7 linked regions of the Bombyx mori genome follow. Each later gene encodes a partner of the first gene's protein in a complex. Links are inferred from orthologs where the notes say so. Each region holds a gene or a part of one and is shown on either strand. Other genes may lie near its edges. The genes, in order: small nuclear ribonucleoprotein Sm D3, U4/U6.U5 tri-snRNP-associated protein 1, splicing factor 3B subunit 2, protein CWC15 homolog, G-patch domain and KOW motifs-containing protein, BUD13 homolog and splicing factor 3B subunit 5.

Region 1 (5,429 bases):
CATTGCTGAAGTCCATGGGCGACGGTAACCACTCACCATCAGGTGGGCCGTATTGGGCGACGGTAACCACTCACCATCAGGTGGGCCGTATGCTCGTCTGCCTACAAAGGCAATAAAAAAATAAAAAAAAAGATTAACAGACAAATCTTTCAACAAAGTGGCTGATTCAGCACCCATCTGTTTAAAGCTGCATTCCACCAGCCCACCACCACGGTTCCTATTGCGTATTAGATTCAATAGAAGCGGAGGGGAATGTGTAACTAAAATTGGACAGCTCTGCAACAGCTGGTGCTGAGGTGCTGATGTGCAGTGTGAGCTTGTATGGTTAGACACCACTGTCCTGTGCGTCTGTACAGTGAAGCCGTCATGACTTCTATTATTATACTATCTCAGAAGCAGTAGTGGCCAGTGGAATTTGACTAATAATAATTATAGTTAGTTGACACTGCGTGTCTCATAAATAAAAACACTAGTTATTATCCAAATTGTTTTTTATTTGTTTTCAATCTTTTGATATTCACACCCACAACGACACATCCTATCACATATCTGCTGACAGTCTCAGTAAACTTGTTACACTGTTTGTAACTAATCTAAATTCGAACATAAAACATTCAAATTAAAAATATTTTGCATAAGAGGTTGTCGTGTCCTAAAGGATAAGATGCCGAGTTACACACATTTAACAAACATGCATGATTGTTGCAGGTTTTATGCTGCGAAGCATTCCAATTTGCCCATTAAGACAGCATTTATCCCAAACAGTACAACTGGGACTTTGATCTCAAACCTCATGGTAGGTGCAGGCCTTCATAAAGTCTATAGGCTCCAGTTACAGTGCAAAAAAATTCAAAATTATATGGATAAAACATTGTCAAAACTCGGCCATTGGTTAAGTTTGGTTTGTACAAGGCAGTTTATAATAACTTTTTATATTTAATTACAATAGTCACCCCCGCATAAACCACACATAGATATTTCCTCAAGCCAAAACAAGATTGAACTATTACCCATCATATGGACAAGATTTCTAGATTATTGGGACTGATATAAGGATAGAACATAGAGATTAAACATTGTATTGATTGGGAGTCACAATAAGTCACCATAGGGTAGCATCAGTGTGTAGTGTCTATTTGATCAAATGGTCCATGAGACCTAAGATGTGTAAAGCAGATTGAAGGGTGACCAAAATAAAAAAACAGAAAATCTGGAACAGGACCTTATTGTTACATTTGAGAACATAATAATAATCTTTGAACAAACAGTTGTTCTATTTCCAAAATTTGTATTTTTCTCACTTAGATATATCAATATATAAGAATGATAATGAAATAATTCCTTGACAATTGAAATATAAGACAAGTACAACTTAAGCTATCTAAAAAATATCTTAACGCTAGCGTCGAGATGGTCCTGACCCACCTTGCCAGCCTCCACGGTGGCCCCCACCTCTTCCACCTGCTCGTCCTCGACCAGCAGCTGAAAATTTCAAAGATTTGTATTTTACTTCTTGATTCCTCTAGATGTGTGAGTAAGCTTACAACCCACTTGATTAATGATTTACTGTGGCCCACAAACATCAAAATAAGGATGCTGGTTGGCATGATACTTGAGATGAGTATGAAGAGATACATATATTTGATCGCTCAAATGTATTGTAGTTACTGTCCAGCCCGTCAAATCAATTCACATTCCTGTTTAGCAACAGAAATTTGCCGTAATTATTTAAATACACAAGAATGGGTTTTCACAAATGTAATAGATACAGTTATTAGTTTGCATAACATTATGTAAAATAGGTTTTACTTTAGATGTGTGAGATTGTGTGCATTAGGTACTTGACATGGTCTCATCATTCACATATTTTCTTTAACCACCCAAAGTAAAATTGTCAATAACATATAGTTGAATGATTAGAAACAATTAACATTGGAACAAAATACTGATTTGATATTACAAAACTTAAAATTGCAAATTTGACATTGTATGTCTATATAAGCACTCAAGAATGAAAAATTGTAAAATATTCTCAATTACTATTAAAAAACTGTGACAAAAAATATCTATACAGGATATAAACAAACAAGACATTTAAAAAATCAAAGCTTCAAACTACCTATTTTTTGCTCATTTGACCCAATTGATCACTATGTATTCAATGCATTTGTACTAATTTTAATGAAGGCTATTTATTGATTGTAATTAAATGTGCTTATCTTTCATACTTGCATACGTTTTCTACTTAGAAATTTTCGTTTAATAATTTGGTTATATAGTGCAGTAATTGTTAAATAGACTTCACTCAAGTCTAATTTATAACAAGCCTAAAGAAATGGGTTGTTCTAAGCTAAAGATGTTTATTCTTTTTTAAGTCTTTGAATTAAACGAAATTAAGAACAATGCATATTCACAATTTCAGTGCTAGATGTAATTAGACTGCAAGTCAGACAGCACTCATTCATATATTAACACTCGTATGTTGTCTTGTTGATAATGAACACAATCACTACGTATGTGATGCGAGAGAACATTTAGGATACCTAGCTCGATAAACAAATCACATACACACTATTTTTATATTGTTCAATACCTTGGGCTCGCAGTATCGCACTCTTCCCTCGTCCTGCAGTAGGTTTATTCCCTTGTCTTTTGAACATTGGCGCGTTCTTCAACATGTCCGGTAATATTAAAAATCTGATCTTGGAACCACGGATGTACACATTCTCGAGCTGTGCAACTCGGCCATCTCTGTATGTGACTGTTACGAGAGTCATTTGGCAATTCATATTATCCTCAGCTTCAATTAATTTCCCTCTATAAACTTCACCGGTATTTGTTTCACAAGTCACTACATGACCTTCCGCCTCGTGAAGTACTTTAATAGGCACACCGATAGACATGTTTACGTTTTAGTTAAGAAAAACGTACGATAAAGGACAATAATTCAGTATTATTTCTTAGATTATTTACGATAAAAATGGGAAAGAATATTTCAAAAAAATTAGACGCTTCAAATCCATAGACATCTAATGTAATATGGCGGCGAGTTCCGTGCATAGACAATAGACATTTTTATTCATTCATTGACAGACAAAGACAACATAACCCATATTACCAAAAATCCATTATGATTTTTAATTCCCTTAGCATTGTGAAAATCAACTTTACTGGTGGTAGGAATGGTAGGATGTCTGCGAGTCCACAGAGGCAGACAACACTACCCTACCTATTCCTGCCGTAAAGTAGTACTACCTTTCGGTTTGAAAATGCAAGAGCATCGCAGGGTATAACTATTGAGATTTTGCAAAAAGTTAAATGTAATCTTAGTTAATTCCAACCATTTTTCTAAATAAATTACATTTCACTGTACATAGCCTAATAGACCTAGTTTCATTTGTAAAAAAAGCTAGGTGCTTAGGCTTTATGCTTGGGGTAGCAAGGGGGCGTGTAAATAGCCCTCCTGCGGCGGGAGCATATAAAGCGGGGTTGTAGAAAGGCGTGTAAATAGCCGTCCTAAGCGGTATGTGACAAATGTTTGTCACTTATAATTAGCGGAGCGGTAAAACTATATAGCGGTAAACAAAAGCTAGTAATCAAACTAAAGATATAAATTAAATACACATAAGCGAGCGGGCGGGCGAATGATTACACGAAGCAGCAATAAAATGGCAATAAATTAAAAGAACTTGCACTCACCTGTAGATCTTGCCAGTGACTGTCGTGCGGGCGTCGGCGATGGAAGCACGCGGGCGGCGGGAGGGGGTGACGAAGCTCACGTAGCTTTTCGTAAGCTCAAGCACCACACAATATACAAGTGCCGCCATCTAGGCAGCTAGCGGTAAAGCGTGATCGATCGGGTAGAACCACGCTTTGGGTAGTCGCGGTAATTAGTTACTGACAAACTCCAAAGGTGGCGCCATCCCAATAATTCATTAGCATCCCATTACTAAATCCGCGTGACCATCCTGCCCGCCTTGAAAGTTCGCAGGACTTTCAACAAATATATAAAGATACTAAGATAGGAAGCATAAAGCTTAAATAGCGGGAAGTTATTTGAAAAGAAACAAATTTTAATTAATAATAAGCCATCATGAATGTTTACGAGTAGAGTTGAAGCGGTTGATGACATGCGGTACTCTAATTTATTCTAGCGGTAGCGGATATAATTTTACAACTGGACGTTTAAGAAATCCAGATTTCGTTTTTACCAAAGCAACGCGTATAATGTTATCGGCACCTGGATACACCTCTTGTATAACTCCAAGTGGCCAGCGGAGCGGTGGAATGTCATCTTGATGAATAAGAACTACTGTCCCAACCTTCACGGGGTTATCTGATGTACACCACTTCTGTCTGACTTGCAACGTATGCAGGTACTCTAATCTCCATTTCCTCCAATAGGAATTAACCAAACCATCTAACAACGCTTTGCGATTAGTCAGACTCATCTGATTTGCGGACAATTCAGACGCGGGTAAATACTGCAAAGGAGTGGACATCAAAAAATGTGCGGGTGTGAGAATTTCGGGGTTGGGATCTGCGGATAAAAGACATAAAGGTCTGGAATTCATAAGACATTCTATTTGATTCAACACAGTTAACATCTCTTCGTAAGTGAGAATTTGTGCGCCTATTACTCTATTTAAATGAGTTTTAACGGATTTAATGTTTGATTCCCATAAACCTCCAAAATGTGGAGCCCGAGGCGGGATCATCTTCCAAATGATTCGGTATTTAGTTAATTCATCATTCCATGCGGATATAAAATTATTTGAAACTAGAAGTTTATACTAGAAGTTTTTAACTGAGCCTTTGCGCCAACAAAATTAGTGCCATTATCTGAATACATGAAAGAAACTGGACCTCGACGAGATATAAAACGTTTGAAAGCGGCAAGAAATGAGTCCGTTGACAAATCCGAGGCTAACTCAATATGTATAGCCTTTGTCGTTAAGCATACGAACAGGCAAATGTAAGCCTTTTGTGAATGATGACCACGTTTGCGTACAAGCGTTATCTTAAATGGGCCCGCGTAATCTACTCCCGTGTGACAGAAAGCTTTGGCCTCCATTACACGGCTTGACGGAAGGTCAGCCATCATGGGAGTTGGGTGTGAAGGTGATACACGAAAACATGATTTACACATATGCACTCTTTTTCTTATAACGTTTCTAGCGGACAATATCCAAAAGCGTTGACGAATAATGGACATCAAAAGGTCCGGACCAGTGTGCAAGTTTGTATTATGAAAATAATCAACAATAATATTTATTATGTGATCGTGTTTTGGCAATAAAGCGGGGTGTTGCGTTTCAAACGGTAAATCAGAGCTCGAAAGTCTACCCTGAATACGTAAAATTCCATCTTCGTCAATAAATGGACTAAGTTTACGAATATTTTTCGAAGGTAAATCTAATTTTCTAATG
Region 2 (3,717 bases), on another chromosome or scaffold:
GAACGTGAGAAAACCAAGTCTCCAGTACAAACACAGAGTGGTGGAGCACAAGAGAGCTTGTCCATTGAAGAGACCAATCGTCTACGAGCTAAACTTGGACTTAAACCACTTGAAGTCAATGAGAAACCTGCTGGTTTGTAATGTAGTTTTATCGCTTTTGTAATGTTTTTTTTTTATTGTGTTAATATATTGTATTTTATTTAATGTACAGACTATATCACGCATAACGAATTTGATGTGTTATCTTTGCCAACAATAAATAAACAAAATAAAATTCAAATTTTTTGCCATTTTATATGTTTTTAGTCATTATTTTACACAAATTGTTCAGGTTAATATTTTCATAAGATAAATTTAATAGGTATATTATAGCAAAATTACCCACTGCTTACAAACTTTTAAATAGATTGATCTGTATCTGTCTATGTAGTGGAATTAATTACAAGTGTCAAGCCCCAACAAATAAATAATTTCACTTAGGAACTTTAAATTCTTTTTTATTGCGTTGATAAATTAACGTATTATATTAAAGTCATTAACAAATCAACATCAAGGTACATATAGCTTTTATTAATATTGTGTTCACAGTTGTCTTCCGACCGCGATCACTAACTAAAACTTGCTGTTTAAGTGTGAGTTCTACTATGGTTTTAATCCATTCACAGATGATGGTAAATTCAAAGATGACCTTGGCGAGTTCTACCATAAGCCGGCTACTAATATCACTGAACAGAAGAAAACAGAAAAACTCAAAGAGAAAATAAAAGAGCGAAAGGAGAAGAGGAATATTGAAGAGAAGTATGAAATACTATATTTTTGTTCCATTGATTGGCTTGAATTTTTTGATATTATTGTAATAAACGATAAAATATTACATTATATTGAGGAATAAGTACTGTTTGAATAAATGATCATCATAATAAGAACCAAATGAAATAAACTGGAAATTAATAAAAAAAAATTGTAATATAATGCATAATTTCATTTAGATTACAGACTACCCTACTCGGTGAAGGGTCTGACGATGATGACGCGTCGGCCTGGGTGAAGCGCTCCAGAGCAATAGAGACGCAGAAGAAAGAAGCTGCAAAAAGGGTGAGCATACAATAAATGCATTTTTTAGCTGCTGAGAACAAAAATCAAAAATCAATAGTTTTATCAGTTTAGATCCATGACCTAAACACCACAGAGACAACATAAGATATTAATGTGAAGCATGTGTGTACGCAGGCGGCCATGCTGGACGAGATGGACGCGGCGTTCGGCGTGTCCGCCCTGCTGCCCCCCCGCGCGCCCCCCGCGCCCGCCCCCTACCGCGCGCCCAGCCTGCGGGGGCTGCGGGTCGCGCACCAGCTCGATGCGGTACTCACACCTTCCCACCCCCCATATATTAATGGGAATACCAGCAGGCTATTTGATTTTGTGGTCATCCAAAAAATTTAATAAAATGCGAAATAATTTAGTTCTGTACTAATCACAGGTTGGTTTAAACTTTGAGCATTTCAATCACGCGTTGATTATTTTCGTTTCACGATTTCTAATCTCGTGGCGACCACACGTGTTAGTTCTAAATACTACATGAAACAAAAAAATCTGTATTAATAGATCTATAATCTGTACAGTTGGAAGATGAACGTGAAACCATTCTAACGTTGGCTGATAAAGAAATATTAGCTGAAGACCCAGAGGATGTGCTCATCAATGTCAATATTGTTGACAACGAGCGATACAAGAAGGTAAGATAACTGTTTTTACTATTTTACTTACATACATCAGTCAGTGAAAGACCATAATAAATGATATAATGGGTTTTGTTCAGAACGTGGAAGAACGCAAGAAGGCGCGCGCCGGCTACCAGGCTTACGACGAGGAGGCCGAGCTGCAGGCCTCCCTCGGCTTCCGACGCTCCGTCCTCTCCAAGTACGACGAGCAGATCCAGCCCGACCAACTCGATAAGGACAAGGGCTTCGTCATAGGGGACGAAGCCTCTCTCGACGCTCACAGGCGCAGAGAGCTCTTGGTGAGGCCCGCGTCACGTCGCATCACGCCGCGTCACGCCACGCAGCGTCACGTCACGCCGCGTCACGTCACGTGGCGGTGCGTTAACGTAACTGTGTATGTGCAGCTCGCGCAAGGCCCCGCCTCTCGCCGCATGGAGTCGCTTGCGCTGCCGCAGCCGCAGCTCGCAGCCGACTACATGGACCAGCACGAGATCCAAGCCAAGTTCAAGAAGACTAAGAGAAAGGTCAGTGGCCCCGCTCGTCGAGCGTCGCGCCGGCGCGGGCGGACCCGTGTGTACGTGTGTGTTTGTGTGCAGGGCAAGATGCGGACCAAGCCCAAGGACGAGCCCATCGACGCGGACACCTACGACGCCGCCGCCGCGCCACTCGACACCGACGACACAGGTCTGACGCGTCCTCCAGTCTTATATATATGTAGTAGTTTAATCTCACGTTTGCATGATCATCATATTATTTCAGCCCCGTTTCGAATAGTTTGTCGCCGCTGTGTCGGCGCGCCCTGCTCGTCCGCATTTAATGAATTATTAAAGTTCTTATAAAAACTCGATACATAACATACATATTTTTTTATAATTTACATAATTCTGATTATTTCAAACTTTACAACAATCCTGTTCCTTATCGACCTAAAAATGTAAGTAAAAGCGGGCTGTGCCCTAAAAACTAGTTATCAATCGACCTGTCGTCCCCTCCGCAGACGTGCGGGCGGGGGCCGCGGCGCTGGTGGTGGACGAGGAGGAGACGGAGCCCGACACCGAGCTGCACGCCGCGCTGGCCAGGGCGCGCCGCCTCAGGCTCAAGGAGGTGCAAGATGCCGCTGTGCCTAAGGTATCTTATATATTTCATAGATTCAAAGGTTCACTGGTAATAATATAATCGCATTTGAATGTCATTAAAAAAAATATTTATTAGATAAACAACTGTCGATAGTAAAATGTTTGCCGTGAAGGGTCACCTGCTACACCCGCCTGACTCTATTTTTTGTTGTACTGAGTGCCTGATGTCGTAAATAGGTTTAGTTCTAAAACTTGGTTCGGTTCAGGTGGAAGAACTCCTGGAGCGCGTGAAGGAGGAGCAGGTGGAGGCGGGGCCGGAGGGCATGCTGTTCGACGCCACCGCAGAGTTCTGCCGGACCCTCGGGGAAGCCCCGGCGTACTTCGCCAAGCAGAACCCGCACTCGCCGGTGAGTGCTGCCCAAGGGACGCTGCGGACAGCCGGCCGGACGATACATGCGTGGCCGTCATAAGCTTCCCCAATTTTTGTAACTGAAACGCATGACAGTTTCCTGTGCTTCCCCGTGCGGGCTCACGAGACGTCTCCAGCTGAATTTACACGATCTCGTTGTATCGTTTTCTCGTATTACATTTATTTGCTTCAATACAAAAATCATGATCACACATCACAACTTCATTCTAATTGGTGACGCACAGGAACACAACCCGGACATGGACGTGGAGGAGGCGGCCTCCGGGGCCTGGAGCAGGGTGGACGTTGACAGCGAGAAGCCGGCCGACCTTAAAGCGGGTAACTGTCGGCACGTCCAGGCCGACTCTTAATTAGTGCACCTTAAAAAAAATCTTCTGCTCTCGAATAAATTGTGATTTGAAGTAACCTAAATCGCGGGGCAAGAAGCGACCCTTGTTAAATCCATGTCCGGTGCAGGGTCTGGCGCGGGCGCGCTGGCGGGCGAGCCGGC
Region 3 (4,680 bases), on another chromosome or scaffold:
TCACCGTGGAAGTCAATCGTGAACATTTGTTGAGTACGTATTTCATTAGAAAAATTGGTACTCGCCTGAGATTCGAACATCGGTTCATCGCTCAACACGAATGCACCGAACGTCTTATCCGTTAGGCCACGACGACTTCAAAAGAGAGATTATATTTCACCTCATTTAATTTTATTTCATCCCAGTTTTTTTTACGTCTCAAATCAATCATCTTTATTTCATTTCACTCTATATTATCATTTTTCATAAAAATAAGAATATAAATTAAAATAAGACATAACCTAAAGGTCTTAGTACCCACCCACGTCATAAAATCCTTTAAACAAAAATCCACAACAATCCGACAACATCATTGACATGTTCACGTTAACGATACCTTCTGTGAGCCGGGCCCGACGGGCATACCGAGAGCAGTTCTCAGTTCCTCGGACAGATCTCCGGGCTTCTTCTCGCGCAGACGAGTCTCGAACTCTTTGCCTTCGTAGTACAGATCTCCGTGGATTGTCATACGCGGTTTTGTTTGCCATCTATAAATACAACAATATGAGAATCAAATATGATCTGAGTATATTATATTATTTTGAGTCCGCGCGGGTAGGTACCATCGCCCTGCCTATTTCTGCCGTGAAGCAGTAATGCGTTTCGATTTGAAGGGCGGGGCAGCCGTTGTAACTATACTGAGATCTTAGAACTCATATCTCAAGGTGGGTGGGGCATTTACGTTGTAGATGTCTATCGGCTGCGGTAACCACTTAATACCAGGTGAGCTGTGAGCTCGTCCACCCATCTAAGCAATAAAAAAAAATTAAAAATATTATAGTAATATCAACGAGCAACCCGTGTTCTCTAGAGCAGTGTGTATTAATTATGGTTGCAGTAGACTATAAAAAACAAAAGATTCATAACTTACCATTTCTCATGTAGAATTCATGTTTCACTTCTGAGCCTGTCCTGAGGTAAAACGGACCAGTTCTTACACTGGTGTATATGAGACCAGAATGTTTTTCTGATCCAATACGAAAAAATTTAAGATATGCAGGGAGAAGCTACACTAATGTTTTAAAGTGTATTTAGCTTTATTATCCGAATTCTAGGGAGACCGGTGTGGATAGCAAGTCGGCTTACCATGTCAGTGTTTATCCAGATATAAATACTAACCAGGTGTGATAGTTTAAGCTAGAAATTAATTATAAATGGCTAACTTCACACTTTCAAATTGTTGAAACTGACAAAGACAAAAGTACTATTCAAATTATTCTCAGATAATTTAACTCACTTGAAAAAGGCATCATGCAATTTCTGGTAGTCAATATCGATCTTGCCCAATTTCGGTCTAGAACGTTCCCTCATCTTCGCTTTAAGGGTTTTAGTCTCTTCTTTGTCCTGCAGCGATGCTCTCATTTCCATGATTCCTGTCTTCTTTATAAAGTCCGGTAGATCGAAGGGAGGTTTTTCTATACCGCGTTTTCCTTGCAAGTACTGCAATATAAGAACATATTGTTTTTTTTTGTTTTTCCCTAACAATATTACTCTAAGATGGAACTATTTTTAGTACTATGAATAAAAACATATTAACGAATACAAAAAACTGAATAACAAATATATATTCTAATTTTAATATTTAATTCTTTGTTTCTGTGTCTGTAACAATTAAATGCAAATCAGAAAATTTGTTTACCTATTCAAGCTGTGGCAACATGAAAATCTTTCTACCTGTTTTCTGGAGTCTATTTAGTTTTAGTTAAATTAGTTTTGATAGCGTTTCTTTTATCCTACTCACCTTCCTCTTGTAACACCAATGTCTGGGTACTTGGACAGTGTTCCTGTGTGCCTTTAGCTGGACAAGTAGTTTGGGATCCCGCGCGGTCACGTCGTACATTTCCACGACGTCGGGTCGAGCCACTAGCTGCTTCAGTTCGGCCACTGACAAACGCGACAATTTTTTTAGTTTGCGTTTTGATAGGCGCTCCTTTTCGTCGGCTGCGTTTTTCTGAGAACATTTATACAATACAGTAGTTTGCTAGCAGTTATGTGAAAGGTTCGTGAAAATTTTAATTAAATTTAATATTTTTATTGAATCGTCAATTAAAATTCTGATGTATGTATTGGCATTTCAAAGTTGCTGTCAAAGGTAGTGTTAGTACAGTAATTGCAGTGTAGTGTAAAATGTTGTTAAATCCAAAAGTGGAACAAATTTATTAGAAAGTTTTTATGTTTTTATGACTTAATTTATCGTTATGTATGTAAAGTTGGTAATTTTAAGATGAATTTGGTTATTTACATACCTCAGCTGCCTCATCATCCGCTGCGAACTGGTCTTGCACTTTATCCTGATGTTTTGTTGGTTTTGGAGCATCCATACCCTCATCTTTGATCGTCTCTTCCTTTTTCTCCGAAATTTTAAATGCTTCCAGTATCCGATGGAACTGACGGTACATTGGTTCCATTTCATGAAACTGTATGTTTTCTTGCACGTATCTGGTTAATTATTTTTTAAATAAGTATTTAATATGTAAGTTAAACTATCCAAAATTGGATGGTACGAAATTTGAGATATTGAAGGATACTTTTGGACCATTCCCAACTATAACTTAAGCAAGCTTTTATTTATTTATTGCTTAGGTGTGTGGACGAGCTCACAGATCACCTGGTGTTAAGTGGTTACTGAAGCCCATAGACATCTACGACGCAAATGCGCCCCCCACCTTGAGATATAATTTCTAAGGCCTCAAGTATAGTTACAGCGGCTGCCCATCCTTCAAACCGAAACGCATTACTGCTTCACGGCAGAAATAAACAGGGTAATGGTATCTAACCGCGCGGACTCACAAGAGGTCCTACCACCAGTAATTACGCAAATTATAATTTTGTGGGTTTGATTTTTATTACACGATGTTATTCCTTCACCGTGGAAGTCAATCGTGAACATTTGTTGAGTACGTATCTCATTAGAAAAATTGGTAGCCGCCTGGGATTCGAAAATCGGTGCATCACTCAACACGATCTTCACCGGGCGGTCACCGGACATCTTTTCCTTTAGGTCACGACGACTTCAGCTACTGATTTCTATACGCGCTTGTCAAATGAAACCATATTCTAACGCAATTATTTTATTATTATTTACCAAAAAAGTTTAACGTTAAGCAGAGAGCAAGTCGCGGTCAGAATAATTGAAATGACACAAGTGAACAAAAAGTGGTTTTCAGTAAACGGTAACAGAAAATAAAATCTTATAGTGCAATTTAAAATATAAAAGCTTTTTTACACTCACTCAATATCTGCTTCTTTTTCATTTTCTTTGTCACTGGATCTCTTTTCTTCTTGTGCGTTGTTCTTTGTCTTAGACTCTTCATTGCGTTTCTGTTTAGCCAGCTTCTTTTTCTTTTTCTTTCTTTTGTTTTTATTGGATTTGCTAGCTTGGGACTGAGGAAGTAAAATGAGAATTAAATAAAATCTTTATTTCTTAATCTTGTAACGCAAGTAACATGTTTTAAAAAAATACTTAAATCAATATTATGAATACGATGATGAATTTTCATATACACAATAGTATTTACGATCATTGAGTTTATGGTTTTTGGATTATAAAGTCTGGGTCTTTGCTTATACTTACAAAAGATTTTAAGAGAGTTAGAGATTAAATGTATATCTTTTATTTTGTTTTTTTTCTACACAATATTTTTAGTCAGACTGTACATAAACAGTATCTATAAAAGAATAGGAAATGTAAGAAATATCCTTCCGGTTTTCAAAGTAAACTTGCTTGTATGCAACAATATTCAGATCATAAGCTTAGAGAGTAATATGTTTGATATCATATGAATAATATGATATCTAGTGTTTATCGTTCACACCTGAAAAATAAGGGCATTTCAATATTTCTAACTCAATGAAATATGTATCCTATTTTTTTTTTAAGGTTATTTTGCTTGCTGATAACTAATATATACTTTAATAAAAAGTACCTCTTGTTTGGAAATTACTGGTGGCATCGGTGGATCAGGAATGTTTTCATCGTCTGACTGTTCATCCTCTTCCACGTCATACTCCGTACTGATCACTGGAGCTGGCGGTGCTTCCATGTCTTTTTGCACATCTGTATAGGGGCAAAACATCATTATAAGGTACTGTTTAATGTGCTATTTTTTTTATTGCTTAGATGGGTGCACGATCTCACAGCCGACCTAGTGTTAAGTGGTTACTAGAGCCCATAGACATCTACAACGTAAATGCGCCACCCACCTTGAGATATAAGTTCTAAGGTCTCACGTATAGTTACAACAGCTGCCCCACCCTTCAAACCGAAACGCATTACTGCTTCACAGCAGAAATAGGCAGGGTGGTGGTACCTACCCATGCGAACTCACAAGAGGTCCTACCACCACCAACAAGGTAAGTGTGCTATTTTATATACAAAATATATAACTTTATAACTGACCCTTTTTTACAAAATAGAACTCAAAGTAAAGTGCTTGTTTGCCAATGTAGTTACCTCAATTTTTTTCAGAATGTCTATAGGATTTTTGAAAGAAATATGTAGGGAACATTTTGGATCTTAAAAGAGCAACATATACTGGTAGTAGAGTGTGCTGTGAGCATGCACGAGTGTGTACCATCACCTTGCCTATTTCTGCCATGAAGCAGTAATGTGTTTCGGTTTGAAGGGTGGGGCAGCTGTTC
Region 4 (4,844 bases), on another chromosome or scaffold:
TGAATTTTTTTAAACGGTAATAATTAGTTATTCTGTATGATCCATGCTATAAACAGGGGAACTGTTCTTAGAAATACACGATCTTTAATTATTTTTTTACGAGTACATTTATGTGGCATTAATATATGCACTAGATAAAATAACAATATGATTATAATATCTGGAAATTTGTTAAGATTCAGTAATATAGTTTTATTGCTGATACTTAACGTGGGTTTCTAATAATTTTACGAACTATGCCATTCGAAGTAAGTACTGCTAGGGCGGCTCGGCATGGCAAGTAAATAAAAAAAAAGGTAAATAAACCATTGCATAGTATTATGTTCACATACCTACGTATATTGTTTTCGTTATTGTAATATGGTGAAAACAAATTTTAATTAACATAAAATAGCAATGAAAACAAAAAATAACTTACTTTTGCTTTGAAAAGTCATAATTAAATCACTTTCATCAATAGCTTGCTGCTCATCACCGCTGAGAGCCATGTCAGAACTACGTGTAGGGCGTGCCTGTTCGTGCTCCTCAGCCAGTTGCTTATAAACGTCCAACAGGAAACTTGGAGCCGAACGATCCAAAGGTGGAGATTTAGATCTTCTGGGTCTTTCTCCTAAGCCTAAAAGATCTAAAATTTCATGTTCTACTACCATGCGCTCGTGTCGTGTAATCGTATGATGAATTATCGTCTGATCAACACCATTGTCAATGTAAAGTCCGGAAAGTATGGCATCGGTGACCACAGTAAACAATGCAAAACACGCACACACCAACTGCACAAAACCAGCCATATTCGTTGTGAGAGCGTCTGCGACTGGCTAGTGGCGAGTTAACGAGATGTGAGACGCGTCATGGCCAGCCGCGGGATCTAGCTGTGGACCTGCCCACTCAAGGTAGGCCGCCGCCGCCTGCTCCGCACTTACCACTGCCTCCCCTCTCACGCCTCACTCACAACGCCGCAATAATAAAAACATTCAACTTCGCCGGACACGTCAGTCTGGTCAGTCCGAACTCCGAATGTTAATAAGTTAATTTAATAATTATTTATTACTACCATTAACAATGCAGTTATGTACTTTAACGGGTGGCGTATTGATTATCAAATCGGGGCAGTAAGTTTGAATTTTTTGTAAATTAATCTCTTTAATACCTTCCCTAATTTAGTTTGGATACCCCAACTACCAAGATTTTTACCACTGAAACTCAGAAGTTGAGTCTCAAATTTCGAACCCGAAAGCAATGTTCGTTGTTATATGAGTAAATTAGACACATTATGCTAATGAACTGACCTCTATCTGTTGTTGAGGAAACAAACATTACTTTTTATCAGTAACGTGACATTAACTTGAAAATAAACTTTATAAAATACTATTTGTTTTCATATAATTTATTCAAAACAACAAAATGACATTTTTTTCATAATATTTACTAAAATTATATTGGTTTTCGTCAATCTTTTCTTTACGTGTTTGTAATATCCATAGTAGCATTTCCACTTCGTTATCACTATTCCGCTTACAATAAGGTATAGAATCGCTTTTAACAACTTTAAATTTAGAATTACAATATCAATAATGATTTACTATTTCACGTACTTTTCCATAAATTTCTTATGGAACTCTGATCTTAATGAGTCATTTATAAAAGTATTAGGTTTCTTTTCCGGTTCAGAACGAGCGCAATTTTTGAAAACAACGTCATCATCCCATCTTCTTTTTACCTGGAACAACCCAAAAAAAATATAGATATAATATTACGATTGTCCTTTTTTTTTATTTGCATAAATGGGTGTACGAGCTCACAGCCCACCTGGTGTTAAGTTGTTATTGCAGCCCATAGACATCTACGACGTAAATGCGCCACCCACCTTGAGATATAAGTTCTCAGGTCTCAAGTATAGTTACAACGGCTGCCCCGCCCTTCAAACCGGAATGCATTACTGCTTCACGGCAGAAATAGGCTAGGGGATGGTACCTACCCGCGCGTACTCACAAGAGATCCTACCACAAGTCGTTACGCAAATTAAAATTTGCAGGTTTGATTTTTATTACACGATGTTATTCCTTCACCGTGGAAGTCAATCGAGAATATTTATTGAGTACGTATTTCATTAGAAAAATTGGTACCCGCCTGGGATTCGAACACCGGTGCATCGCTCAACATGAATGCACCGAATGAGTTATCCTTTAGGCCACGACGACTTCTTAAATTCTTCTTAATCGACCCTCATAGATGAAGGTTGTGACTCTCATAACTCAGTCAGTCTCTCTCTAATGATATCATGTAGAGGCCTAATGACGAGTTGTGCTGAGTGGTGCCTCTGGGCGTTCCAATACCGGATTCATCCAATGCTTGAGCAGATTATGTTAATGTTCTTAAAATCACTTTCAATTACTTTTGCATTTTTGTATGGTATTTATTAGTGGGTGTACAAAATCACAGTCCCTGTGGTGTCAAAACAGCAACCAGTGTTTATAGAACCGAAAATGTAAAATAATGAATCAACCAAAGTCTAAATGAAATTATTTAATAGTCTTGAATCCTCAATATCTGCCGCTACATATGCATAATGAAAGGAAAAATAATTTTTTTGTGCATTATTAAAGTATTCCCTGTGGAGTATCAATGATATTGATTCAAATACAAGTAAACCGAAAACAATAGCAACAATACGTTTTAATAGTTATTTTTATAGCATAGATAGGTGAACAAACTTATGGCCAACCTGGTATAAAAGGGTTATCTGGTAGTTGTCAGTATACTTCACCAATGAGATATCAAAACAGATACTGATTGAATATTATTTGCACATGTTTCAATACACATCATATTATTATCATATGGCAAGGATATCTAAAATACCAATACACAACAAAAGCTCTGAATAATTATAATCTAAGTGAGACCCAAGTTTATAACCACTTAACACCAAAAAGACAATGCTAGACATACTTGGAAGAATGAAAAATAATATCTTGAAACAGATTTGAAAAGTACCATAGTGTACCAGAACAGAAACATACAACACATACATAAACATACAAACACATAAATATGCCATAAAAAAAGTAAAACACAGATAGTATTGTTACTATGGAATAACAAAATAACAAAAACAAAACACCAGCAAAACAACAAATGCCAATTAAAAGATGCATTTAAATTATTTATCAAGATAATCCTGGTCAATGTGTAATTTAATAATGTAGTATCATGAAACTGACTAGCCAGAATGAAGAACTTGTACTACAACAAATGAATACCTACCCACTGCAGAAACTAAAGGTCATCTACACTTTTTTTATTCCTTTGATGGGTGAATTAAGTTCATGGCCCATAGAAATCGACATCTTAAATGTTGTCACCCACTATGAGACATGAGTTCTAAATATCAGATTTTATACCAAACGAAAACACATTACTACCCCATTCTACTGCCATTCATTAAGCAAATTATAATTTTGGTGGGTTCGATCTTTATTAAACACTATTTGTTCATGATGGAAATCATTTGTCAATTTACGTTAAGTATATATTTCATTACCATTGGTACCTGTCTGCAGGATGAGAGCACCGGCACAGTCACATAGCTTTATACAAATGCACCGGGAGTCTTTATCTTTTAGGGCACAATTACTTCAACATTGATAAATACAACATCAATGACATCTGCAGTTCAGTTCAATCACCAAACAGTTATCAGGAGTTAAAACAAAATTCATTTTAATGTTTTTAATTACCTTCATGTCATTCTTCTGTCCTGCAGCGGAGTAGTTGAGTAAAGGATTACCCGATAATATGTTCTCCATTCTAATTCTTTCCTCTTCTTGTTTCTTTTCAGCTTCCTATAAGGTAAAACAAAATTGATTTGTGCAACAAGGTTTATTTGTTATTTGAATTTTATTTAGTTTGGGTATCAAAATACACTAAAGTACACTAAAGTTAGACAAATTAAAAAAAATATATATTGTAAAATTTAATTTAAACATACTTTGTGTACATCAGTACAAAAATAGTCTTATAGTATAGTATCTAACTCTAGTATCTAAGATATATCTTACTTTTTTAGCTTGTTCAATGGCCCTTTCCTTCTTAATTCTGTTTAATTCTGCTAGCAATGCAGCAGTATCATCATCTGAATCATCAGAGTCAGTGGAATCGCCTTCAAGAGGATCATCAGCATCAAGACTTGCTGCAGGAACTTGATCAACCTTAGTTCTTTTTGCTTGTGGTTCACTTGTACGTTTTGTAGTCGTAGTTTTAACATCTTTTTCTCTATCATCCAACTCCTTACGAAAATCACGAGAGCGTAATTCCTCAGATGTCCCTTGACCTGATTCCCTATTAAAATAGATTTTAATATTTGACTTTTTCTTTACATTTTGGTGCATTACAAACGTGGTATTTATGCTTTGAACGAGTTATACATTGTGGTTTTGAAGGGTAGCGTATTTTCTAAAACAATAATTCAAGTACTCTACCTTGTCTCAAGATGGCTTTTTATGAGGTCCGTTAAGCACTTACCACCACGCGGGTCGTAAGTCCAACTTCGCGAATAGGAATCCAAATTTAGATCGAGAAATAAAACTAAACTAACCTGTATTTAAGTTTCGTATGACCAGGAAGATCTCTGCTGGAATACTGTCGAGAAATAGCACTTAAGTCTTTCTCTCCTCGGCCTTGACCACCTCTTGCAGGATCAAAAGTGGGTCTAGCAGCTGTAGTCATAATGAACGCTGGTGCTGACTTGATGAACGGTGATTTTATGTCTTGCTATTGTGCTTGTATACATTCAAAAAACTCTAGATGATGTCAGAGACATTTAGCATAACAGTAGGTAGGTTTGT
Region 5 (4,680 bases), on another chromosome or scaffold:
AAATCTGGTCCAGAGGTCAAACTTCTCATTTCTGGACATTAAATAATATGGTATTGAAAATAAATGAGGTACATCTAAATGTAAGGCAATTAAGGCAGACAATTTTAATGATAGATTTATACCTATGTATAGACGTAGTTGAGAATATTAGATAAAAAAAATGGAATCAGAATCACAACTTTGCGGTTTTTTTCCTGACTGAACTTTTAAGCAGCTCGAGATTCAAGGGTTCTGAGATTAAACCGGTTAGTTTCAATTCTAAAGGGCCTTTTTCGGTCAAAACAAGAAGCGGAAAATAAAAAAATAAAAATGATGAAGATTGTAATTCATTTAAAGCTTATTTTCTATGTTTTTTATAATTCGGTGAACGATCCCTGTCTCTTTTCTTCTTTTTTCCCTTCCTCTTCTTATCGATATCTCGTTTGCCGTCCGGTGTAGCGCTACCTTTATTCTTTTTATATTCATCTTCAGAATCCACGCTTCTTTCACGCTTTTTCTTGTCTTTCTTCCTCCGCCTCCTCTCATCCTCTGATTGAGAACTTAAAGATTCGTTGCTGCTGTATCTTTTTTTGTGCTTCTTTTTCTTCTGAGATCTCTCTTCACCGGTGCTTGACGAGTCTCTCCTATGTCTATCCTCTTTTCTATTTTTACCATTTGACCAATCTTCTCTTTCACGCCTGTCGGTATGTTCATACTTTTCTTTCTTCGTTTCTCTTTTAGGTGAACTCTCTATATCTTTTTCTTTTGACGATTGAGGAACTTTTTCATCTTTCTTGTATTTTTCGTACTTGTCTGCATCTATAAATATTTACATTTTTTTATATTTACTAAGTGTATTGCTCTTGCAAAAAAAAAACAAATTTACATGTGAATGGTCCAAGTATTGTACCTTACAGGCCCCTCCGCGGAGAAAATACATTTAAATTAAACTTCACATTGTGAGAGAGTTCTTCAATAGAACCTGTGAAAAAAATCGTAATTAGGTTACAATACTTGGACATTTAGCCGATTATTGTAACTCAATTGAAAAATAAATGTAGAACTTATAATATATATAGATGAATCAGACCAAGCACAATTTATATATACAATTGTGATTTGAGTGTCATGACAAGACAATACTAGCCTAACAGGTGGTCACAACAGACTTCAACACTTTTATATTGTGTAATGAAACTAAATTCCCAAAATTTATAAAATTCCTTCCTTCTACAAAGTATTTTATTTTTTATTGCTTAGATTGGTGGACGAGCTCACTGCTCACCTGATGTTAGGTGATTACCAGACCCCATAGACATCTACAACGTAAATGCCGCCACCCACCTTGAGACATGAGTTCTATGGTCTCAGTATAGATACAACGGCTGCCACACCCTTCAAACCGAAACGCATTACTGCTTCACGGCAGAAATAGGCGGGGTGGTTACCTACCCGCGCGGACTCACAAGAGGTCCTACCACCAGTATTTACGCATTCTGGTTTACAGTTTGGTTATAGGCGTTCTTCAATGGTGACTTTGGTCTTATATCTTAAGATGACTGCTTTCACGCTGTGAAGCACTGCAACTTATTAAAACCAGACGGTTTATAAGCTTCACGGCTGTTTTAAACAAAATTTGTTTACATAATTTGTAACACACAAAATATTGTGTAACACACAATTTGTTGTTCACAAAATATTGTGAACAGATGGACCTGATTTTTTTTAATTGCCTTTGTAGACAGGCGTGCATTAGACCCACCTGATGATGAGTAATTACCGTCGCCCATGGACGTCAGCAATGCCAGGGGCAGAGCCAAACCACTACCTACCGTTAAGTATTCTTCACAAGTAGTAAATAGTCAAATTAGAAAGGAATATGGTGGCCTATAAAAAGTTTATAGTTGTCTAAGACTGACCAGATAAGGGCTACAAGAAATTGCTTCCTGCACATAAGGCACCAGACACAGGTAACTGACAGAAGTGTCACCGGATAAAACCCATCACTAAACACACAACGGTCACGACCATTCTGCCAAGAGATCAGAGACAAGGAGGACAGATGTAAATGAAAAAAAATTAAGTACTTATAACTTTGGATTCCTTGTCGAATTCGGACTTTGTGACCGGATGCATCATGAACTCGCTTAGATTGACAGTTTCATTTTTCATCACTATATTGACCATAGCTCTGCCGTTGTCTTCATCGAGGCTAAGCACCTGAAATGTTTTTGAAAATTGTATGACAAAAGGTGAGGTATCTTTATACATATCCTATAGGAGTTAGCATAGGAAACTAACGGCCGTCCGGTGTAGTGGTAAGTGACATGGTCACTACACAAGGGGGTCGCGGGTTCGAATCCCGCCAAGGGAAGATATTTGTATGGTAAATATAAATGTATTTTCCAGGGTTATGGATGTATATTAAATATATGTATGTGTATAATAAAAAATCTTACATTTATTTCCGTTATATGGACTTAACTCCGTTAACTTGTAACACAAGTTCTTTACGAACTTATCACCAGTTAACGTGGCGTGATTGTCAGTAAATATTTATATTTATTTATTTAACTCATTTTTTTGCCTTTGTAGGTCAATTTTTTGCCTGCCAGTTATTGGTCACAGTCACTCAAGGACATCAGCAACGCCAGTACTATAGCTAAGCAGCTGCCTACCGCAAATGACTTTCCTTAAAACTTTTTTTGAAGAATGTCATGTCGTAGCAATTAGAAACACAGTGGAGGGGACTTTATTCCAGAGTAATATGAGCCAGAAGGTACATGGCAAAAAGATCTCTGAAACAATCTGCTCCAGTCGCGAGCGGTGCAATGGTAAAAAGATGAAATGTGTGCTCGGAGTGCTCCTTATTATAACTAGTCAGGTCATAAGTATTGTCACACAGTAAAAACTTTTCTTTTAGAATGCTGGCCACAAAAAAGTTTATTGAATTCGAATTTCGAATTGTTCATGAAAATAAAAATGTATACTTTTAGAATTTTACTCATTTTTAAATATGGAGTGGACGCTTAAAGAAGACCGTGTTGCAGTTATTGCGTTGCATCGTTGCGGTTACGCGCCAATTCAAATTTTTAACATACTGAAAAATTTGAATATAACCAAAAGATTCGTTTATCGTACCATCAAACGATACAATGAAGACTCTAGTGTCGATGACAGGTCAAGAAGTGGTCGCCCTCGGTCTGTTAGGACTCCAGCAGTGATAAAAGCTGTGAAGGCGCGAATTCAAAGAAATCCCAAACGTAAGTAGAAACTGTTGGCCCTTCAGATGGGGTTAAGCAGAACCACGGTGAAAAGGGTGTTAAATGAAGACTTAGGGCTTCGGGCATATCGAAGAAAAACAGGACATCGTTTGAATGCTCGTCTAATGGACCTGAGACTGAAGAGATGCCGCGCTTTGTTGAAGCGGTACGCGGGAAAAAAATATCGGGAAATTGTTTTTTCGGATGAAAAAATTTTTACCGTAGAAGAGAGCTACAACAAACAAAATGATAAGGTGTACGCACACAGTAGTGAAGAAGCGAGCAACCGTATTCCGCGTGTCCAACGAGGTCATTTTCCATCCTCGCTCTTGATATGGTTGGGAGTTTCTTAATGGGGATTAACAGAGGTACATTTTTGTGAGAAAGGTGTAAAAACGAATGCAGTTGTGTATCAAAATACAGTCCTGACGAACCTTGTGGAACCTGTTTCTCATACCATGTTCAATAACAGGCACTGGGTATTCCAACAAGATTCGGCGCCAGCTCATAGAGCGAAGAGCACACAAGACTGGCTGGCGGCGCGTGAAATCGACTTCATCCGGCACGAAGACTGGCCCTCCTCCAGTCCAGATTTGAATCCGTTAGATTACAAGATATGGCAACACTTGGAGGAAAAGGCGTGCTCAAAGCCTCATCCCAATTTGGAGTCACGCAAGACATCCTTGATTAAGGCAGCCGCCGATATTGACATGAACCTCGTTCGTGCTGCGATAGACGACTGGCCGCGCAGATTGAAGGCCTGTATTCAAAATCACGGAGGTCATTTTGAATAAACTTTAGTGTCATAAGAATCTATGTTTTGTTAAGTTCATTTTGGTATATGAATGGTTACGTAATGAATAAACTTTTTTCAATTATTTTACATTAAACATGTGACAGAATTTATGACCTGACTAGGTACATACATAACAGAATACAAAGAAAAGTGGAGTCCCTTTATTTGGAGGCCTATTTGATATTATTGGAGTCCCTCTATTTGACTCTGGAGACCCAGAGGTTACAGATAGTCAGTGAGAACGAGATTATCGACGATATTTGTACAGCGTTGCCTATCCACAATATCTGTCCAATAGTTTGTTGTTGTTGGTATAATTTCCACACATTTCATAAAGTTATTGAAATCGTCAAATATAGTAATATAATAATAAGATACTCAATTCCTTGCAAGATAAGGTTAAACTAACAAACAAACAAAGTAAACATTTACTGTAGACCATTTTTACTTTTTCATAATAGTGTTTTTGAAAGAGTTGATTCAAACAGCTTGTATTTTTGCCTACATACATATGCATACATCAGTCGGAAGTATGTAAATATACACTTATACTGTAGGTATATGTATGAGGGTATCCATATAAAACTATATGTTTAAACATTTCAATAAAATACATATAAAAACTTTTTCCAAGTACTTATG
Region 6 (3,428 bases), on another chromosome or scaffold:
ATTATTTTTAAATAAATTTGTGTGTATCTTATATCTATTGGCTTTTTAAAAAAATAATAAAGTGAATATTTTGCTTCGTAAAAGTAATATATTTGTGTTTATTTATTTTTTAATATTAATATCAATTTACTGCAATAAAACATTTGTAAATCTAAATACAGATTTATATATTAACTTTGATAGTAACTTTTATATAAATTCTCAGTAAAAATAATCTTTTATCGCTAACATATTTGTTATAATTTTTATTAGAAAATTAGAATCGTTATCTACAGACAAGTATCAAAAATTTATCTATGTGTATTTAATTGTTACTTTTAATTTAATATCTACCACAAATCTATGTTAAATGTAAGAGTATATCAATTTGAAATCTTCCATGAAAAAACATAAGTGTTAATAATGTGTAGAACCTTATGTTAAGATGCATTAATAGAGTGACCCATTTGATCTTTTAGGTATTAGTAGTAATAACATTTTCTTATTTAAATAAACTGCATTGCATTTTGAGTAGCATTTGGTTTTATTTTATCTTAAACTGGTGTTAATTATTAATTTACGGTAGGCAGCGACTTGGCTCTGTCCCTGACATTGCTGAAGTCCATGGGCGACGGTAACCGCTCACCATCAGGTGGGCCGTATCGCCTGCCTACACTGGCCATAAAAAAAAGAAAGAAATAATCGGTTTGGAACTATGTATATATTTATTTATTAAACTTCATGTAAACTTTACATTGGCGGACTTAATGCCCAAGACATTCTCTACCAGTCAACCAAAGGTAGGTGCAGAGTAAATAATCTTGTGAATCCGCGCGGGTAGGTACCACCGCCCTGCCTATTTCTGCCGTGAAGCAGTAATGCGTTTCGGTTTGAAGGGCGGGGTAGCCGTTGTAACTATACTGGCCTACTGGAAGAGATTTCAACATGAAATAAGTAGTGCCCATGTACTCTGTATCCTTATTGTCGTGTTTCTTCTAACAGCTGTGTGTACAAAATATATTAAATAAATAAAACTCTGGGCTTAGTCCAAAATATAATTCATATCATTAATACAATATTTACATCAATAAAAACAAAATATACATTATGTATGTACTAACATTCCATAATTGAACAAATAATTTGTAACAATATAAACATCTTGTTGGTGAGCTCAAGGCTCAACTGATGTAAAGTGATTACCGGAGTTTATGGACATAATGAGAATGCCACCACCTGCCTTGAGACGTGAAGTCCAGTCTCATTGGTATTGTATGACTGCTGCTAACATTAGAATCTGAACACATGACGATTTGTGACGGAAATGGACGGAGGACTACAAAATAGCATTTTGACGGGTGAAAAGCTATTTAGTTTCAAGTGATATTTTAGCAACTTCACAGGAGAGCCATTACAAGTTTAATATTTGAAAGAAACTCTGAATGACATGACAAAAAAACTTCTACAGCTATTTTAATGAAGTAAACATAAATTTGAATTAGAAATAGTGTAAGAAAAAATGATTTTAAAAAAAACCTTGGGGTGCTTGGTATCAGTGGTTATAAATATTTTATGAATAGATATGAATAGAAGGGTTATTTTGATAATATCCTAAAAAGGACCAAACGCTTTTTTTTTTACAATAAAATAATTTTTTCTTACACTATTTCTAATTCAAATTTATTTTCTATTTTTTAGCTGGATTTTCTATAAAAGCGTATTTTGTTAGTTTTTTTTACACTATTATTGATTCAATTTGATCACAGACTTTAAACAATAACAAAAGTTTGACAATTGACAACAAACAAAGAGTATAGAGATATATGTATATGTTGTGTGTCAAACACATGGTAGTGTGTGTAATGTTTTTTTTATTGATTTAATGTATTTTTACATTTATTTCATTTTATCATTTTAAATAGAATATTTTTCAGGTATTTCAACTTTAAATTAGTCTACTGAAAAGTTCACGCATTGTCGCTTAGTCACGTTTCCCTTTCAAGCGTCGAAATATACTTTGAACTATATTTTCTTTTAACTAGCTAGTAACCACCTCGCCGTTACAAGTCCTCGGTACTCCACTTATAAGCTTCCTCCTCTTGAGCTTGCCTCTTGCTCTGTTGTTCGAAGAACTTCTTCTCGTAGCCGTTGGATCTGTCGACGCCGTCCCACCGGTAGCCGGGTCTCAGGTTGAAGCGGTTCGGAGGGAAATTACCTTTATATTTTGGGCGTTCTGCGAAAACAAAAAAAAAATACCAATAAAATATATTTTTTCATCTGATGATGGTGTTGTCAGTTACTCAAAATAAACTCCACAAATATGAGAAAAAGTTCTCATATTTGTGGAGCAATCTCAAGACTATATTTGATAGTCTACTAAACTACTATACTGCTACTACTATATACATATATCTTCTCTTACCCCCCACTGGACGGGGAATTCTAGTTTGGAACCCCACTGTCATGAGTGATTTATTCCTGATCATTTATTTATTTAACTAATTTAATTATAGGTACAGTGTAATAATTTATTAACATGTATAATATTTAAATATAGATCGTTTTAAGCATAATTTTAACTTAAGAATTGTAATTTTAAGAATCGATTACTCAAAAAAATAAAACTCATACAAATCTAAATAATAGTCATTTTTGTAATATATTATGTACATATATTAAAAATAGTTCAGTGAACTATGTTATTTAATACAAAAGTACATTACCTGGTGGTAAATTTCCTTCCTCTCTCTTCCTGTCCTGTATGTATTTGAGCATCGGATCTCCTGCCCTCTCTATCTGCTTGAGTCTGTTCTCCGAGTCTGCATCGTCCCGGTGTCGGGCCAGAGGTTTTGAGGCCTCATGCATGAAATCCTGAAGCCGTTCCTCTTGAGCTTCCAATTGTTTCAACCTGCAATTTACATACAGAGCTTTTATTATGAGAACAAACCTTTTATTTATTTATTTATTTATGTACACACAAAAAAGAAAACATAGTACAGAGTAATAGGAAAATTATGTACAAAGGCACTGCTTATTTCTTTAAGAAATCTCTTCCAGCAGACCTGCGAGAGGATTATGAGAATAATAATTAAAAGTGATGAGCGTGTGTAGGACAGCTAAAATAACAAATACAACATGAGAATTATAGTAATGCACATACACATAGCAAATATTAAATTTTAGCAAATATTTTACTAAATCGTGAAGGGAAAATTAATAATATTGAAGGGTGAAAGGGTATTTGTTTAAGAGACATTTTTGAAATATTACAAGAGAGCGATTTAATGTTTAGAATTTGGAAAAAATATCATAACAAAAAACTTCTTCGGCTATTTGTTTTTTTTTTATTGCCCAAGTAGACAGACAAGCATACATCCCACCTGATGGTGAGTGGTTACCATCGCTCATGGGCATCAGCAATGCCAAGGGCAGAGCCAAGCTGCTGCCTA
Region 7 (3,521 bases), on another chromosome or scaffold:
GGCGCATTTACGTCGTGGATGTCTATGGGCTCCAGTAACCACTTAACACCAGATGGGCTGTGAGCTCGTCCACCCATCTAAGCAATAAAAAAATAAAAAAACTTACTCATTGCATGGATTATTCGGTATATTCGAAACCCACATTTGTAGGTATAATCAATCTACCTATTCCTGCCGTGAACAATCAGTCCCAATTATTATTATTGTCTTATTTAATACCTATCACTCATGGCACTATGCACATAAAAACACAAACACAGGGCAGAAAATCAAGAAATACTTACGATATTGGAGATGTTTTTTTCGTGCATGAATAAATGTGTTGGTCTTTTGAAAACATTTGAATATTTTCGCTCTACAATTTGCTTTGCTTGTTTGCGAATATTTTTTTCACTTTCTTTAAGCTCTGTTTCTTTCGGTAATTTGCTCATAACTTGTCAGAAATAACAATAATTCTGAATAGAGAATATTTAAAGGCGAACAGAATTACGAAATGTATATCTTGATAAAAACAACTCTCTCAGTAATGACTGGCTTCTGGTTATTAAGTTTATCAAAAATATTGAATAAACACGGTAGTGTATTTTCTATGGCAACTGGTTTTAAATTGATCAATTAATCAACATAACAACATACCAAAGAGTTTAGAAATACGACGATATCAACGTACCCTAGAGTGTACTTTGTAAGTACTCTAAGTTGATATGTAACTGTGAGCATAGAAAATACACTTAATTAAAATACCTGTGAGCTTAAGATAAGTGGATGAGGAGAACCGCAGACCGGGCTCAGTGGTGTGGATTGGGAGAGGCTTATGTCCAGCAGTGGACGACTGTGGGCTGTTGATGATGATGATGATGATGATGATGAGCTTAAGATTCCATGATAGATGCAGCTGATCTAGCGTGGTTGTAATTATGTATATCTCACGGGTTTTTTTTTATTGCTTTGGTGGGTGGACGAGCTCACAGCCCACCTGGTGTTAAGTGGTTACTGGAGCCCATAGACATCCACAACGTAAATGCGCCACCCACCTTGAGATATAGTAAGTTCTAAGGTCTCAAGTTTAGTTACAACGGCTGCCCCACCCTTCAAACCGAAACGCATTACTGCTTCACGGCAGAAATAGGCAGGGTGGTGGTCCCCACCCGCGCGGACTCACAAGAGGTCCTGCCACCAGTAATTACGCAAAATATAATTTTGCGGGGTTCATTTTTATTACACGATGTTATTCCTTCACCGTGGAAGTCAATCGTGAACATTTGTTTAGTATGTATTTCATTAGAAAAATTGGTACCCTCCTGAGATTCGAACACCGGTGCATCGCTCAACACGAATGCACTGGACGTCCTATCCGTTAGACCACGACGACTTCTATCCTTCCTTTACCTTTTTTTACTTTTTATTTTATCTTTTATTAACCTCTTTGCTTTAATAACTTTGTTGCGTGAGCTGTAGAAGTGTAGTTAATAGTTAATTTTGTTAACTTACTGTTTTTTTGTTTGTTGAAACGTGCTATTAATGAAAAATTGTAACCGTTTAGTATCTCTAAAAGTCCACAAGTATAGGAAAATGTGACAACACAGCTGTACTCAACTGTTTTGGTCAGCATTATCGGCAAACGAGTATCTGTCCCACTTAATAATAAGTGGCGATCGTCTCTGATGAACGTCAACGTCAGAAGCATAGACTAAGACTAATTCCACTGCCGGGGCTCTTCCCAAGCTTCGTTAAAAGATGAAAGCTTATTTCAAAACCAGATGATATGTAAACAGATCTAAGAACTTACTGTGAAAGATGCAGTGAAAGAAATAATAAAAAAAACTGTGCACAACCTTTGGTGTTTAGATTTCAACGTTAAGTATTGTATCTATGGTTTAGATACGCCGTGTCTGCAGTAATCTGCACTGCAATTTATGTATTGTCTATGAATACTCTTTGTTTTGGGCTGCTACGTGATATCAATATTAGCTGAATTAGAATATAAACTTTAGAGTCTATACGATTTCAACAAGCATCTTGCCTTTAAAGTAAGTGTGTATATTTTATTAGAAACGTTTTATTTATTTTATAACCATTTAATTTTACATTAATGACATTACTAACTCGAACTATAACCTTAAAATAATTTACAGAATAAAATGGGTGAAAGATACAACATTCACAGTCAACTTGAACATCTACAGAGCAAATATATAGGCACAGGCCACGCCGACACTACAAAATATGAATGGCTTATGAACCAACATCGCGACTCTTGCTGCAGTTACATGGGTCATCCGGATTTGTTGAGTTACTTTGCGATCGTAGAAAATGAATCTAAAGCGCGCGTAAAATTCAATTTGATGGAACGAATGCTTCAACCATGCGGCCCACCGCCAGAAAAGCCTGAAGATTAAACGCTTCGATTTTAAAAATAGAATTAAGCTAATTTACTTATTATTTGACTTTGAATCCCTTATCATGACATAAATTCGAGCAGTTTGTTTTCATTTCTATAACCTTTAACAAACACAATTAGTCTATTCAAATAGTACCACCAAAAACTCAACTATTATCAATAAAAACTACAAATTTTAATAACAGGTATAGTTTATAGTTTAGAATTGGTTCAATGGTCAAATGTTTGACAATCTTATTTTTATATACAAACTTGTTTCATATTGTTTTATCTCAAAGAAATCAGTTTTGATTTCCATTTAGCCTTATATATATACAGTCAAAATCTGTTATAACGACATCGAAGGGACTGCTCATATTCAGTCGTAAAAACCGATAGTCGTAACAACCGGTAATGTTTAATGTGTATCGTGCAAGTACAAACAAATCGATAGGGAATTATTGGAAAAATATATTTACAAAATACGTGATTTTTCTTCAATATTAATTTGTTTTCTTTTTCTTTGCGACATTTTCAAAGTTTCACGAATAACTCCACAAAGTTTTGGTGCGTTTTATGTATAGATAAGTAATAAACTAACTGAAGAGATATGAAGAAGCGGTCTTTGACTCTACTGCATGCACGTGTTTTGTTTCTAAGAATTAGAAAAGACCCTACACTAAACTAAATCCTATTGTTTTCTTTCCTGATTTTAATAGCCATTGAAGACAAATGTGGATACCTATTCAAATTGTTTACAATATAGCTTAGCCGGTCGTTCTAACAGATCTAATTCTCCAAAATATTAGTTAAATGTGGTCGTTTTATGAGGTATGTCGTTATTACCAATGTCGTAGAAAGCAATATTTTTAATAAGGCGGTCATATGGCATTCAGCCGGGACCTTTGTTCTAGGTTGTTATAACCGGCATGTTGTTCTAAACGATGTCGCAGTAAACGGTTTTGACTGTAGTTTAAATATAAAGTAATTTAAGAGATTCTTTAAATAACCTGGGAGTATTTTAATCATGCATATGCTTATTAAAATATTGAAAGCTTCTTTTTGATATTTTTATTATGTATGTCTAAAATTGTTAAATAGGTTACATTACAATGAACCACCAAAACTGTAAAATTTAGGA

What was found.
Region 2: small nuclear ribonucleoprotein Sm D3 (region 1) and U4/U6.U5 tri-snRNP-associated protein 1 share a complex: the UniProt entries of both Homo sapiens proteins name them as parts of the U4/U6-U5 tri-snRNP complex. The link is inferred for Bombyx mori from reciprocal best matches to the Homo sapiens genes SNRPD3 and SART1.
Region 3: small nuclear ribonucleoprotein Sm D3 (region 1) and splicing factor 3B subunit 2 share a complex: the UniProt entries of both Homo sapiens proteins name them as parts of the minor spliceosome. The link is inferred for Bombyx mori from reciprocal best matches to the Homo sapiens genes SNRPD3 and SF3B2.
Region 4: small nuclear ribonucleoprotein Sm D3 (region 1) and protein CWC15 homolog share a complex: the UniProt entries of both Homo sapiens proteins name them as parts of the minor spliceosome. The link is inferred for Bombyx mori from reciprocal best matches to the Homo sapiens genes SNRPD3 and CWC15.
Region 5: small nuclear ribonucleoprotein Sm D3 (region 1) and G-patch domain and KOW motifs-containing protein share a complex: the UniProt entries of both Homo sapiens proteins name them as parts of the minor spliceosome. The link is inferred for Bombyx mori from reciprocal best matches to the Homo sapiens genes SNRPD3 and GPKOW.
Region 6: small nuclear ribonucleoprotein Sm D3 (region 1) and BUD13 homolog share a complex: the UniProt entries of both Homo sapiens proteins name them as parts of the minor spliceosome. The link is inferred for Bombyx mori from reciprocal best matches to the Homo sapiens genes SNRPD3 and BUD13.
Region 7: small nuclear ribonucleoprotein Sm D3 (region 1) and splicing factor 3B subunit 5 share a complex: the UniProt entries of both Homo sapiens proteins name them as parts of the minor spliceosome. The link is inferred for Bombyx mori from reciprocal best matches to the Homo sapiens genes SNRPD3 and SF3B5.

What each region holds. Positions count from the first base shown.
Region 1 is NC_085122.1:328,320-333,748, forward strand, and holds small nuclear ribonucleoprotein Sm D3, read right to left. Parts: upstream 3,092-5,429; 5' UTR 2,904-3,091; coding exon 2,594-2,903; intron 1,483-2,593; coding exon 1,400-1,482; 3' UTR 474-1,399; downstream 1-473. UniProt on the Homo sapiens protein: Plays a role in pre-mRNA splicing as a core component of the spliceosomal U1, U2, U4 and U5 small nuclear ribonucleoproteins (snRNPs), the building blocks of the spliceosome.
Region 2 is NC_085118.1:17,268,677-17,272,393, forward strand, and holds part of U4/U6.U5 tri-snRNP-associated protein 1, read left to right. Parts: coding exon 1-133; intron 134-665; coding exon 666-798; intron 799-989; coding exon 990-1,095; intron 1,096-1,230; coding exon 1,231-1,362; intron 1,363-1,622; coding exon 1,623-1,736; intron 1,737-1,819; coding exon 1,820-2,020; intron 2,021-2,125; coding exon 2,126-2,245; intron 2,246-2,317; coding exon 2,318-2,405; intron 2,406-2,718; coding exon 2,719-2,849; intron 2,850-3,063; coding exon 3,064-3,204; intron 3,205-3,451; coding exon 3,452-3,545; intron 3,546-3,683; coding exon 3,684-3,717. UniProt on the Homo sapiens protein: Plays a role in mRNA splicing as a component of the U4/U6-U5 tri-snRNP, one of the building blocks of the spliceosome. May also bind to DNA.
Region 3 is NC_085131.1:3,905,557-3,910,236, reverse strand, and holds part of splicing factor 3B subunit 2, read right to left. Parts: intron 4,097-4,680; coding exon 3,966-4,096; intron 3,424-3,965; coding exon 3,272-3,423; intron 2,479-3,271; coding exon 2,286-2,478; intron 1,991-2,285; coding exon 1,781-1,990; intron 1,480-1,780; coding exon 1,277-1,479; intron 528-1,276; coding exon 377-527; intron 1-376. UniProt on the Homo sapiens protein: Component of the 17S U2 SnRNP complex of the spliceosome, a large ribonucleoprotein complex that removes introns from transcribed pre-mRNAs.
Region 4 is NC_085110.1:8,227,746-8,232,589, forward strand, and holds the end of protein CWC15 homolog, read right to left. Parts: 5' UTR 4,726-4,844; coding exon 4,595-4,725; intron 4,339-4,594; coding exon 4,059-4,338; intron 3,843-4,058; coding exon 3,738-3,842; intron 1,718-3,737; coding exon 1,580-1,717; 3' UTR 1,369-1,579; downstream 1-1,368. Other genes in the region: protein 60A, read right to left, coding at 419-788. UniProt on the Homo sapiens protein: Involved in pre-mRNA splicing as component of the spliceosome. Component of the PRP19-CDC5L complex that forms an integral part of the spliceosome and is required for activating pre-mRNA splicing.
Region 5 is NC_085127.1:6,320,356-6,325,035, forward strand, and holds the end of G-patch domain and KOW motifs-containing protein, read right to left. Parts: intron 2,200-4,680; coding exon 2,067-2,199; intron 962-2,066; coding exon of another isoform or gene 891-961; exon of another isoform or gene 890-890; intron 799-889; coding exon 338-798; 3' UTR 309-337; downstream 1-308. UniProt on the Homo sapiens protein: RNA-binding protein involved in pre-mRNA splicing. As a component of the minor spliceosome, involved in the splicing of U12-type introns in pre-mRNAs.
Region 6 is NC_085130.1:5,574,625-5,578,052, reverse strand, and holds the end of BUD13 homolog, read right to left. Parts: intron 2,888-3,428; coding exon 2,703-2,887; intron 2,213-2,702; coding exon 2,040-2,212; 3' UTR 1,022-2,039; downstream 1-1,021. UniProt on the Homo sapiens protein: Involved in pre-mRNA splicing as component of the activated spliceosome. As a component of the minor spliceosome, involved in the splicing of U12-type introns in pre-mRNAs.
Region 7 is NC_085126.1:5,965,187-5,968,707, reverse strand, and holds splicing factor 3B subunit 5, read left to right. Parts: upstream 1-1,870; 5' UTR 1,871-2,030; intron 2,031-2,135; 5' UTR 2,136-2,141; coding exon 2,142-2,399; 3' UTR 2,400-2,478; downstream 2,479-3,521. Other genes in the region: uncharacterized protein LOC101736097, read right to left, coding at 285-431. UniProt on the Homo sapiens protein: Component of the 17S U2 SnRNP complex of the spliceosome, a large ribonucleoprotein complex that removes introns from transcribed pre-mRNAs.